2 linked regions of the Danio rerio genome follow. The protein of the gene in region 1 purifies or fractionates together with the protein of each later gene. This does not show direct contact. Links are inferred from orthologs where the notes say so. Each region holds a gene or a part of one and is shown on either strand. Other genes may lie near its edges. The genes, in order: ppp5c and ptges3a.

Region 1 (4,416 bases):
AACCCATCACTGGGAAACCATACACTCTCATTCACACATACACTACAGACAATTTTAGCTTACCCAATTCACCTTTACCTTATGTCTTTGGATTTGTGGGAGAAACCCGCACCAACACGGGGAGAACATGCAAACTCCACACAGAAATGCCAACTGACACAGCAGAAGCTCAAACCAGCGACCTTTTTGCTGTAAGGCGACAGTGCAGCCCATTGCGCCACCGTGGTGCCTCACATATATCATTATTTACTATAATATCACAGTCCCCCAAACATTACCCTTGTGTAAGAAGCTAGAAAGTTCTACACTCACCGGCCACTTTATTAGGTACACCTGTCCAACTGCTTGTTAACGCAAATGTCTAATTAGCCAATCACATGGCAGCAAATCAAAGCATTTGGGCATGTAGACGCGAATCACCTCAGACTGGTTTCCTGAACATGACAATGAGTTCACTGTACTCAAATGGCCTCCACAGTCACCAGATCTCAATCCAATAGAGCAGCTTTGGGATGTGGTGGAATAGGAGATTCACATCATGGATGTGCAGCTGACAAATCTGCAGCAACTATGTGATGCTATCATGTCAATATGGAGCAAAATCTCTGAGGAACATTTCCAGTACCTTCTTAAATCTATGCCACGAAGGATTTAGGCAGTTCTGAAGGCAAAATGGGGGCCAACCCGGTACAAATAAGGTACCTAATAAAGTGGCCAGTATTGTGTTCATGTTATTAGTCCATGAAGATTTCCTGCTTGTTTTCAAACTATATCATAATTTAAAACTTTAAAACAGCAAGCATAACATTACGTATCAATATGTGGACACTTTTGGATTCTCAGAGGCTAAAAACCAGTTTAAACCAGCCTAAGCTGGTTGGTTGGTTTTAGCTGGTCGACCAGCCTGGTTTTAGAGGGGTTTTGGCCACTTCAGGCTGATTTCCATTTTTAAGCCTGGTCTTAGCTGGTCAGGCTGGACAATGACCAGCTAAAACCACCTCGACCAGCCTGGTTTAAACTGGACATAGCTTTGGCTGGGCTCCCAGCCTGGATAGGCTGGTCAGGCTGGTTGTAGCTGGTCATCTGCCAGCCTGACCAACTAGGACCAGGCTGGAAATGGTTGGAAACCAGTCTGGAAATGGCCAAAACCCCTCTAAAACCAGCCTGGTCGACCAGCTAAAGCTAGCTTAGGCTGGTTTTAGCTTTTTTTCAGTAATGAAAAATGTAAAACAGGAAATACACTGTGGGCAATTGTTATTGTTTACATCACTCAAAATAGTGTTTATGTCATTTTTGACAAAAATTATTTTTAAAATAAAAATAGGCTACAATTTAAGTTATTATACGTTCCTATTATATTATTAATATTTTATTAATTATTATTTATTAAATTATTTAATTTATTATAACTATTTTACGATCCAATTATTTGAATACAGATTTTAATGGAGCGGTTATTAGTGTGTTAAAATGTTTACTTCTGAACGTTTGTTTATTTTTATCTATTAATTAATTTATTTTTATTCTGGGGTCTAGACTGTTCTAGACGTACCTTCCCGTAAGTGTTTGCGACAGCTCTTCGCGCGCACGCGGCAGCATGACGGAACACGGCAGCGAGAAGATGGCGGAAGAAGAGCGGAATGCCAGTGCAGAGAAACTCAAGGAGAAGGCTAATGACTACTTTAAAGGTACAATCATGCCAAATACCCGCTGCAGATAAGAGACTGTACTGATGTCGACTGTATAGGGCCGTGTTGCGTGAGTTTGCGGTTTGATGATGACTGGTGAGATCAATAAAAGGGCAGCGTGTGTGAGACAAGCACACACATGATGAATCAGAGACACACACCACCATAGACTTTTCTGCTCGTAATTCATACTTATGATAAATAAACTCGACGATGACGTGGGAGATGACGTAACACACGTACTTAGAGAGCTGCTGTTCTGTCAGGTGTATGAATGTTGGTTGGCTGTCATTACCACAGTATTAAGACTTTAATACCCTCACAAGAGCAAGGTGATCACGTGTTTTCGCTGAATACATAGTTTATTTTCGGTTTCTGTCTGCTTTTCATTCATTTTATATCGGGAAATTATCATCCTGCTGTTTTGACAGGTAGTTATTTTGATACTTGTGCTTATCCTATGGTCATTTCTGAAAAATACTTAACACGAGTTAAACTGTGGGGTGTTTGTGTTGAGGTAAAGTTGGTTTTATATTCGCACATTTCTTCATTCAACGTTCCCTGTTTTATTTAATACGCTAATTTGAATATAGGGTCTAATATCGCATGTAAATATGACTTGAAAAAGACATTAGCACTATTTAATTGACTGTGAATAATGTTGTACTTTGATATTCATTGGCTGCTAATATGATTTCACTATTTAGAATTTGTAAACATTACTTTTCTAAAATTATATTATTAAGGAGAAAGTCTGAATGTGCGAATATAAAAGCAACTTTATCAATGATATGTGTTGCATTTGAAAAGGCAAGGCAAGTTTATTTATATAGCACATTTCATACACAGTGGCAATTCAAAGTGCTTTACATAAACAGGAATAAAAGACGTGTATATAAGAAAAAAATAAAGACAAATAGTATTAAAAACAGGTTTTATATGAATGAAAAAGAAGATAAAGACATAGTAGCGCAATCTGTCGGACAGCACAGTGCTCATTCAGTCAAGGCGCATCTAAACAGATGTGTTTCAGTCTTGATTTGAATGTGCCTAATGTTGGAGCATATCTGATCATTTCTGGACGCTGATTCCAGCAGCAGGGGGCGTAGTTGCTGAAAGCTGATTCACCCTGCTTTGACTGAACTTGGAATTTCTAGTTTATAGAATTTCTAGCAGGGTGTTTACACCTCTAGTTTGGAAAAAGTCAGGAAAGTGGGTGTGTCCAGCTCTGTTTAGGTGGGAGGGAAAAGGGGAAGGTTTTTAAAAAAAATGGGAGTTTCCTTTTGGGCACGCGCTGATTTTAACCGAGACAAAACGAACACACTTGACTGTGTTTAATGACTGTAGAATGTTTGATACCGCACGTCGTATAAGAGAAAAAAAAAACTCTGCATTTCTCGGTAGCTCAGATGCAGTCGGTAGGTCAGAAAGCTGTGTTGTGTAGACTATCCTGTCTCAAAATGCGGCGAAAATTAAACACGGCGGTCGGTAATAGTTTGATTGCAGTGGTCATGTTTACACTCTGAGAGCAGCATTTACAGCAGATCTTTCAGTCCATAATATTGTAGTGATATTAACGTAAACTAAGTAACTTAGAAATCATTTTGACTAAGGTCTGTATTAACACTGAAAGAGTGCTGCTGAAGATACGAACTATAACTTTGCCATCTGAATGAACAAAGAAAGGGCACTGATTGTACACACTTACCAAATCTGTAGAGACAACACATACTGGAACCGCGTCTTTATTAAAAGGAGACGAGCAGCAAATCCAGTTTTCACAATTTCCAGATGAGAAAAGCTCTCGAATAAAAAAATTTTAGTACAAACGTAATTCAGCCGCGCGTCGTGTGCAGTAATCCACACATAATCACATTATAAAAGCAACACTAACGACCCGTATCTCCAAACAATTTTTATTCTTTTCCGTCCTCTTTTGCCAAAACAACGCGGCGTTTCTCTGCCGTCTGAACACTGTTTCAGGTACAAACAGTCTTGGAAGCTATTATGCATATTAATGAAGTTGCACCGCATACACATTAGAGCGCGCTGATTGGTTTCAACCAAGTCTTACTCAAGAATAAATGCAGCACACTCAGAGACGTAATAAGGCACTCCCTGGTACAGACGTCCACTCTACACGCTGTAATACACGCTAAAATCTCATGGCCGTGACGCAGCTTCAAAAATTCATTTCAAACCGGAAGTGTGAATTTGCGTGAAATAATGCAAAAACAACCAATTTTCACTTTTTAGCTGAATATAGGTGTCCTAATAGTGTTTTTAGCAGTGTGGGACACATATACGACTGTCAACAGCTCAAAACATGTGTTTTTTCCAGCTGAATAATCCAGTTTAATCCAGCTTAGGCTGGTTGGCTGGTTTTAGCTGATCGACCAGCCTGGTTTTAGATGGGTTTTGGCCATTTCCTAGCCAAATGGCCTAGCCTAGCCCAGCCAAAACCAGCTACGTCCAGCTTAAACCAGGCTGGTCAAGTTGGTTTTAGCTGGTCATTTTCCAGCTTGACCAGGCTGGAAATGGCCAAAACCCCTCTAAAACCAGGCTGAAAATGGGTGGAAACCAGCCTGGAAATGGCCAAAACCCATCTAAAAGCAGGATGGTTGACCAGCTAAAACCAGACAGCCATTCTAGGCTGGTTTAAGCTGGATTTTTCAGCAGGGTTGGTGTTTTGTGACCCTTTATAGAGACAGGACTACATTCACACATG
Region 2 (4,516 bases), on another chromosome or scaffold:
ATGCCCTTCCAGCTGCAACCCAAAAAGACTATGTGAGCATTTTACGTTTAAAGCATTTTAGTTGTGCATAAAGAAGTTTAATAAAGGTTATTTTTATTAAATTACTTGTATAATGAAGACTATGCAATGTTATTTTACATTTGACATTTTACATTTATTTAATTTCTGTACCTGAATACTGTTAGATTCTCTCCAGAAAACATGGTTTAATTTACTTTCATTTTTGCACCATTGTGTTGATATATGAATGTAGTTTGTTTATTATATGTATATAATAAATTACATTTAAAATATATATTTATATTTCACACCCCTACACAATCATCCCAATCACACTAAACTAAAGATTTTGCAGATAGAGCTATAACTGTCATCTGGTGAAATTGAATTTATATCGCAATATACATCGCAGAGAAAAAAATGCAATGTAAAATGTTTCCAAAATCACTCAGGCCTACTATTAACAACTTAAAACAAGGATGTACCTGAAATCAAGCTTTGTTTTGTCAAATTTAACTTGGACATCTTTGCTGTCTTCTATACAAAACTCGATGAAGACAGCTTCCCGTCTGTCATACCACTTGGCAGTAGCTGGCTGCCTGCAAAACAAAAAATGAAAAGCAATGTTTTAGAAAAGGCTTCAGTCTAACTCCACTTTAATATGACATTCAAAAACACAATATCACTTAATTCTAATGGAATCCATGAGGAACTGAGCAACCAGCTAAGTGCATTTGTTAAAAGTCAAACTCCACACTAAAAGTGCAGCTCTAAATTAACATGTGCGGGCAGGAGGTCCTGGCGGGGGTGGAGCAACAATGACGTTACCGTGGCAACCTATTTGTATCAATTGGCAGGATCATGCATGGCTTCTTAACAATCTACCTAAGGCTTAACCCATGTAATACAATTATAGCAAAACCAGGCCTCTGTAATAAAGGGCTGCACAATAACTCCTATTTAAATCTGGAGTTTATTTTTATTGCTGTAGTTATAAGCAGGGTTTCTGTAGGTTTCATTAGGTTAAATGTAAGACTTTTAAAGACCTTTTTATCATGAAGGAAATTTTAGACTTAAAGCTAAATGCTAAGGATTTTTTTTTTTCGAATATCCCAGTTGGAAAATTTTTTCACTTGCCCTCTCAAAAATAATTAGAATTTAATACATTTAATAATACAATAATAATAATAATTTAATAATAACAAATATAGGTCAGGTGGTCAGTATCCTCAGCAGTAAATAAATGGGCGAACTTTTTAAAAACAATTACTGTAAGGAAAGTAATTAAACAATGATGGTAAATTAGTTCAAAATGCAATTTCTAAATGAAAAGTTTTGTTGAGATTGTTGGTGATTGTATGAGTGTTAATGGCCAGATTGGGAAGCTATACATGAACAGAGGAAAATTAAGAATGTTAAAAAAGATTTAAGACATACAACACAATATTTCAGTTGATTTGGGACTATTTGAGGCCTAAATTAAAATTTTTGAGATTTAAGACTTTTTAAGACCTTGTGGATACCCTGTATAGGATACAATAAAACAGTCATTCTAAGTAACTTTTTAATTTTAAGGCTTTAAAAAGTAACTTTATAACTTTGATTCTTGGAATAATTCACCCAAATATTTAGAATTCGCACCATTTTCTCTCCCTTATGTGGTTAAACCTTTAAGTATTTTTCTTTTGTTAAACACAAAAGATGTTTTAAAGAACTATAATTATTAACCTCCATTGTAGGAAAAAAAGCACAAGAAGTCAATGGTTACAGGTTTCCAGCTTTCTTTAAAAAATCTTTTGTGTCTAACAGAAGGAACTCAAATGTCTGAAACAATTAAAGGGTGAGTAAATGAAAATGTTTGCGTGAACTATCCCTTCTAAGATTAATTTTCAGCATCATTACTCCAGGGTTCAGTGTTTTACGTGATCATTCAGAAACCACAAGATGCTGAACATTTATTATTATATTACTATATTATTTATAAAGGAGATTTGGTTCATATTTTTTAATTTTAGCATTTATCATGTCCATACATGCATTTAAAAAGATGGTGTATCATTGATCGCAGCTGAAAACCTTTCAGCCTTGCTCTGCTGGTTTAGCCTGTAGACTGTTAACCAGCATGACCTGAAGGAAAGTACTCAAAACCATCTCACAAACCTGTCGTGTAAAGCTGGGATGACAAACTAAACCCCTTCAGTTGGCCAAATAGCCACCCAACTGATCTCCAGCATGGAAGACCAGCATAAACTGGCATTAATACCTTCTTAAACCCGTTCAAACAGCAAACATGACTTAAGCATGTTCTTTTCCAATAGGGAACACCCAGCCTGCAAGCCTTGATCTGTAAAAGGTTGATTTATATGACACATATATTGCTTGTACATTCTACAATAATGCATATGAAGCATGAATAGATGAACAGAATAGAATCATGCCATAGTAGCTTGCAGTAACCCCAGGCCTAACTATCTAGCTGCTAACCAGCTAGCTAAGCTCTGCTGTGGGGACAATGTGTGCTATTTCCACCACCAATTACCACTAGACGTTTTTCTACACAAATTCTAAGCTTCTTCACGAGGAAGATTCGTATTGTCCTAAATGTTCATACATGATAGTTGGCGTATGAGAGAGAATCTGGTGTTTCGCTGATAAAGGTTATGCACACATTTGCTAACTAGCTAAAGTTAGTGCATCCCTATGACTGCCGGTCAGACTCACATGTCGAATTCTCCTTTCAGTGTTCACCCAAATCTGCGTCTCCTCTCGCGTCCTCTCGCCTGGGGTAGTGTTTTGGATTTGTGCTGTCAGATCACAGTGAAGGCATACAGACGGAAGCTATAGCTGTTTATGCGCCGCTGTCAACCTGCACAAGGAGTGCGCGTGTCTCTACACACTGGCGCGCAGTGACGCATCAGCTCAACGTTTCTAGCGACTTCTGCTGCGCGCCCCCAGCCATGCGCGTTCCCTAAGCAAACACGTCTCCATAGTAACGCAGTGCTCGCTCCCCTGCTCGCTCCGCCTTGACAGTACAGTACAGGACGTCCACTGATGCAGGGCCACACAAATCATACGTCATACTTTTTCTTGAGTCAGAATGAAATTGTTTTGTCAGGATCCTCAGGCGTACTACACTAGGCGAAATGAATGAAGTGCATGTGCATTCACATGTATTTTATAAAAAGCATTTAATTAAATATTAATAAATAAATACAAATATCTGTCAGTCTGATAAAGGCAACACTTAAAGAACTGCAGATAACAAACGAAATAAGGTAATAATACAAATGATACCAATAATATTAATACTTTAGTAGACATTTGTTATATTAATAGTGATGATAATAATAATAATTGTAATAATAAAACAACAAATTATGAAAAATTTGTAATATTAATAATAATAGTAATAATAATTTATCATTATTATTTATTATTATTTATTATTATTATTATTATTATTGGCAGCATGGTGGTACAGTGGGCAGCACAATCGCCTCACAGCAAAAAGGTTGCTGGTTCAAGCCACGGCTGGGTCAGTGGAGTATGTGGAGTTTGCATGTTCTCCCTGTATTCGCATGGGTTTCCTCCGGGAGCCTCAGTTTCCCCCACATGTCCATAGACATGTGATCTTGGCTGAGTAAGCTAAAACTGTCTGTAGTGTATGTGTGTGAATGGGAGTGTATGGATGTTTCCCAGTGATGGGTTGCAGCTGGAAGGGCATCCACTGCTTAAAACATAAGCTGGATAAGTTGACGGTTCATTCCACTGTGGCGACCCCAGATTAATAAAGGGACTGAGCCGAAAAGAAAATGAATGAATGAATGAATGAATGAATGAATTATTATCATTATGATGATGATGATTATTATAATAATAATAATTATTATTATTATTAATAATAATAATAATATTAATAATAATAATAAAATAACCATGACACATTATTTACAATAATAGCAATGCCATAATGACAATAATTATTGCTATAAACAAAACAACAACAATCAACATTATTATTATTATTATTAATACTACTACTACTAATAATAATAATAATATTTATAAAAACTTATAATTTTTGGTTGTTGTCTGCGGATTTTTAACAGTTAAGGTATATAGATGGATGAATGTGCTATTTTTATTATTATAATTATTAATATATTATTATTAATATCTATCTATCTATCTATCTATCTATCTATCTATCTATCTATCTATCTATCTATCTGTCTGTCTGTCTGTCTGTCTGTCTGTCTGTCTGTCTGTCTGTCTAATAAATAGACAACACTTAAAGAACTGCAGAAAACAAATGAAATAAGTAAATAATACAAATTATACTAATAATATGAATACTTTAGTAGAGTTTTGTAACAATAATAGTGATAATAATAATAATAATTTTTACAATAAAACAACAACTATTAACAAAATAATAATTATCATTATTAATAAGAATAAAATAACCATGACACATTATCTACAATAATGACAATGACATTAATAACAATGACAT

What was found.
Region 2: the proteins of ppp5c (region 1) and ptges3a purify together in Homo sapiens (affinity purification with mass spectrometry; 5 studies listed by BioGRID and IntAct, with this or other methods). This does not show direct contact. The link is inferred for Danio rerio from reciprocal best matches to the Homo sapiens genes PPP5C and PTGES3.

Annotation. Positions count from the first base shown.
Region 1 is NC_133190.1:2,798,633-2,803,048, reverse strand, and holds the start of ppp5c (serine/threonine-protein phosphatase 5), read left to right. Parts: upstream 1-1,594; 5' UTR 1,595-1,597; coding exon 1,598-1,688; intron 1,689-4,416. UniProt on the Homo sapiens protein: Serine/threonine-protein phosphatase that dephosphorylates a myriad of proteins involved in different signaling pathways including the kinases CSNK1E, ASK1/MAP3K5, PRKDC and RAF1, the nuclear receptors NR3C1, PPARG, ESR1 and ESR2, SMAD proteins and TAU/MAPT.
Region 2 is NC_133198.1:29,970,265-29,974,780, reverse strand, and holds the start of ptges3a (prostaglandin E synthase 3), read right to left. Parts: upstream 2,894-4,516; 5' UTR 2,724-2,893; coding exon 2,722-2,723; intron 600-2,721; coding exon 486-599; intron 1-485. UniProt on the Homo sapiens protein: Cytosolic prostaglandin synthase that catalyzes the oxidoreduction of prostaglandin endoperoxide H2 (PGH2) to prostaglandin E2 (PGE2).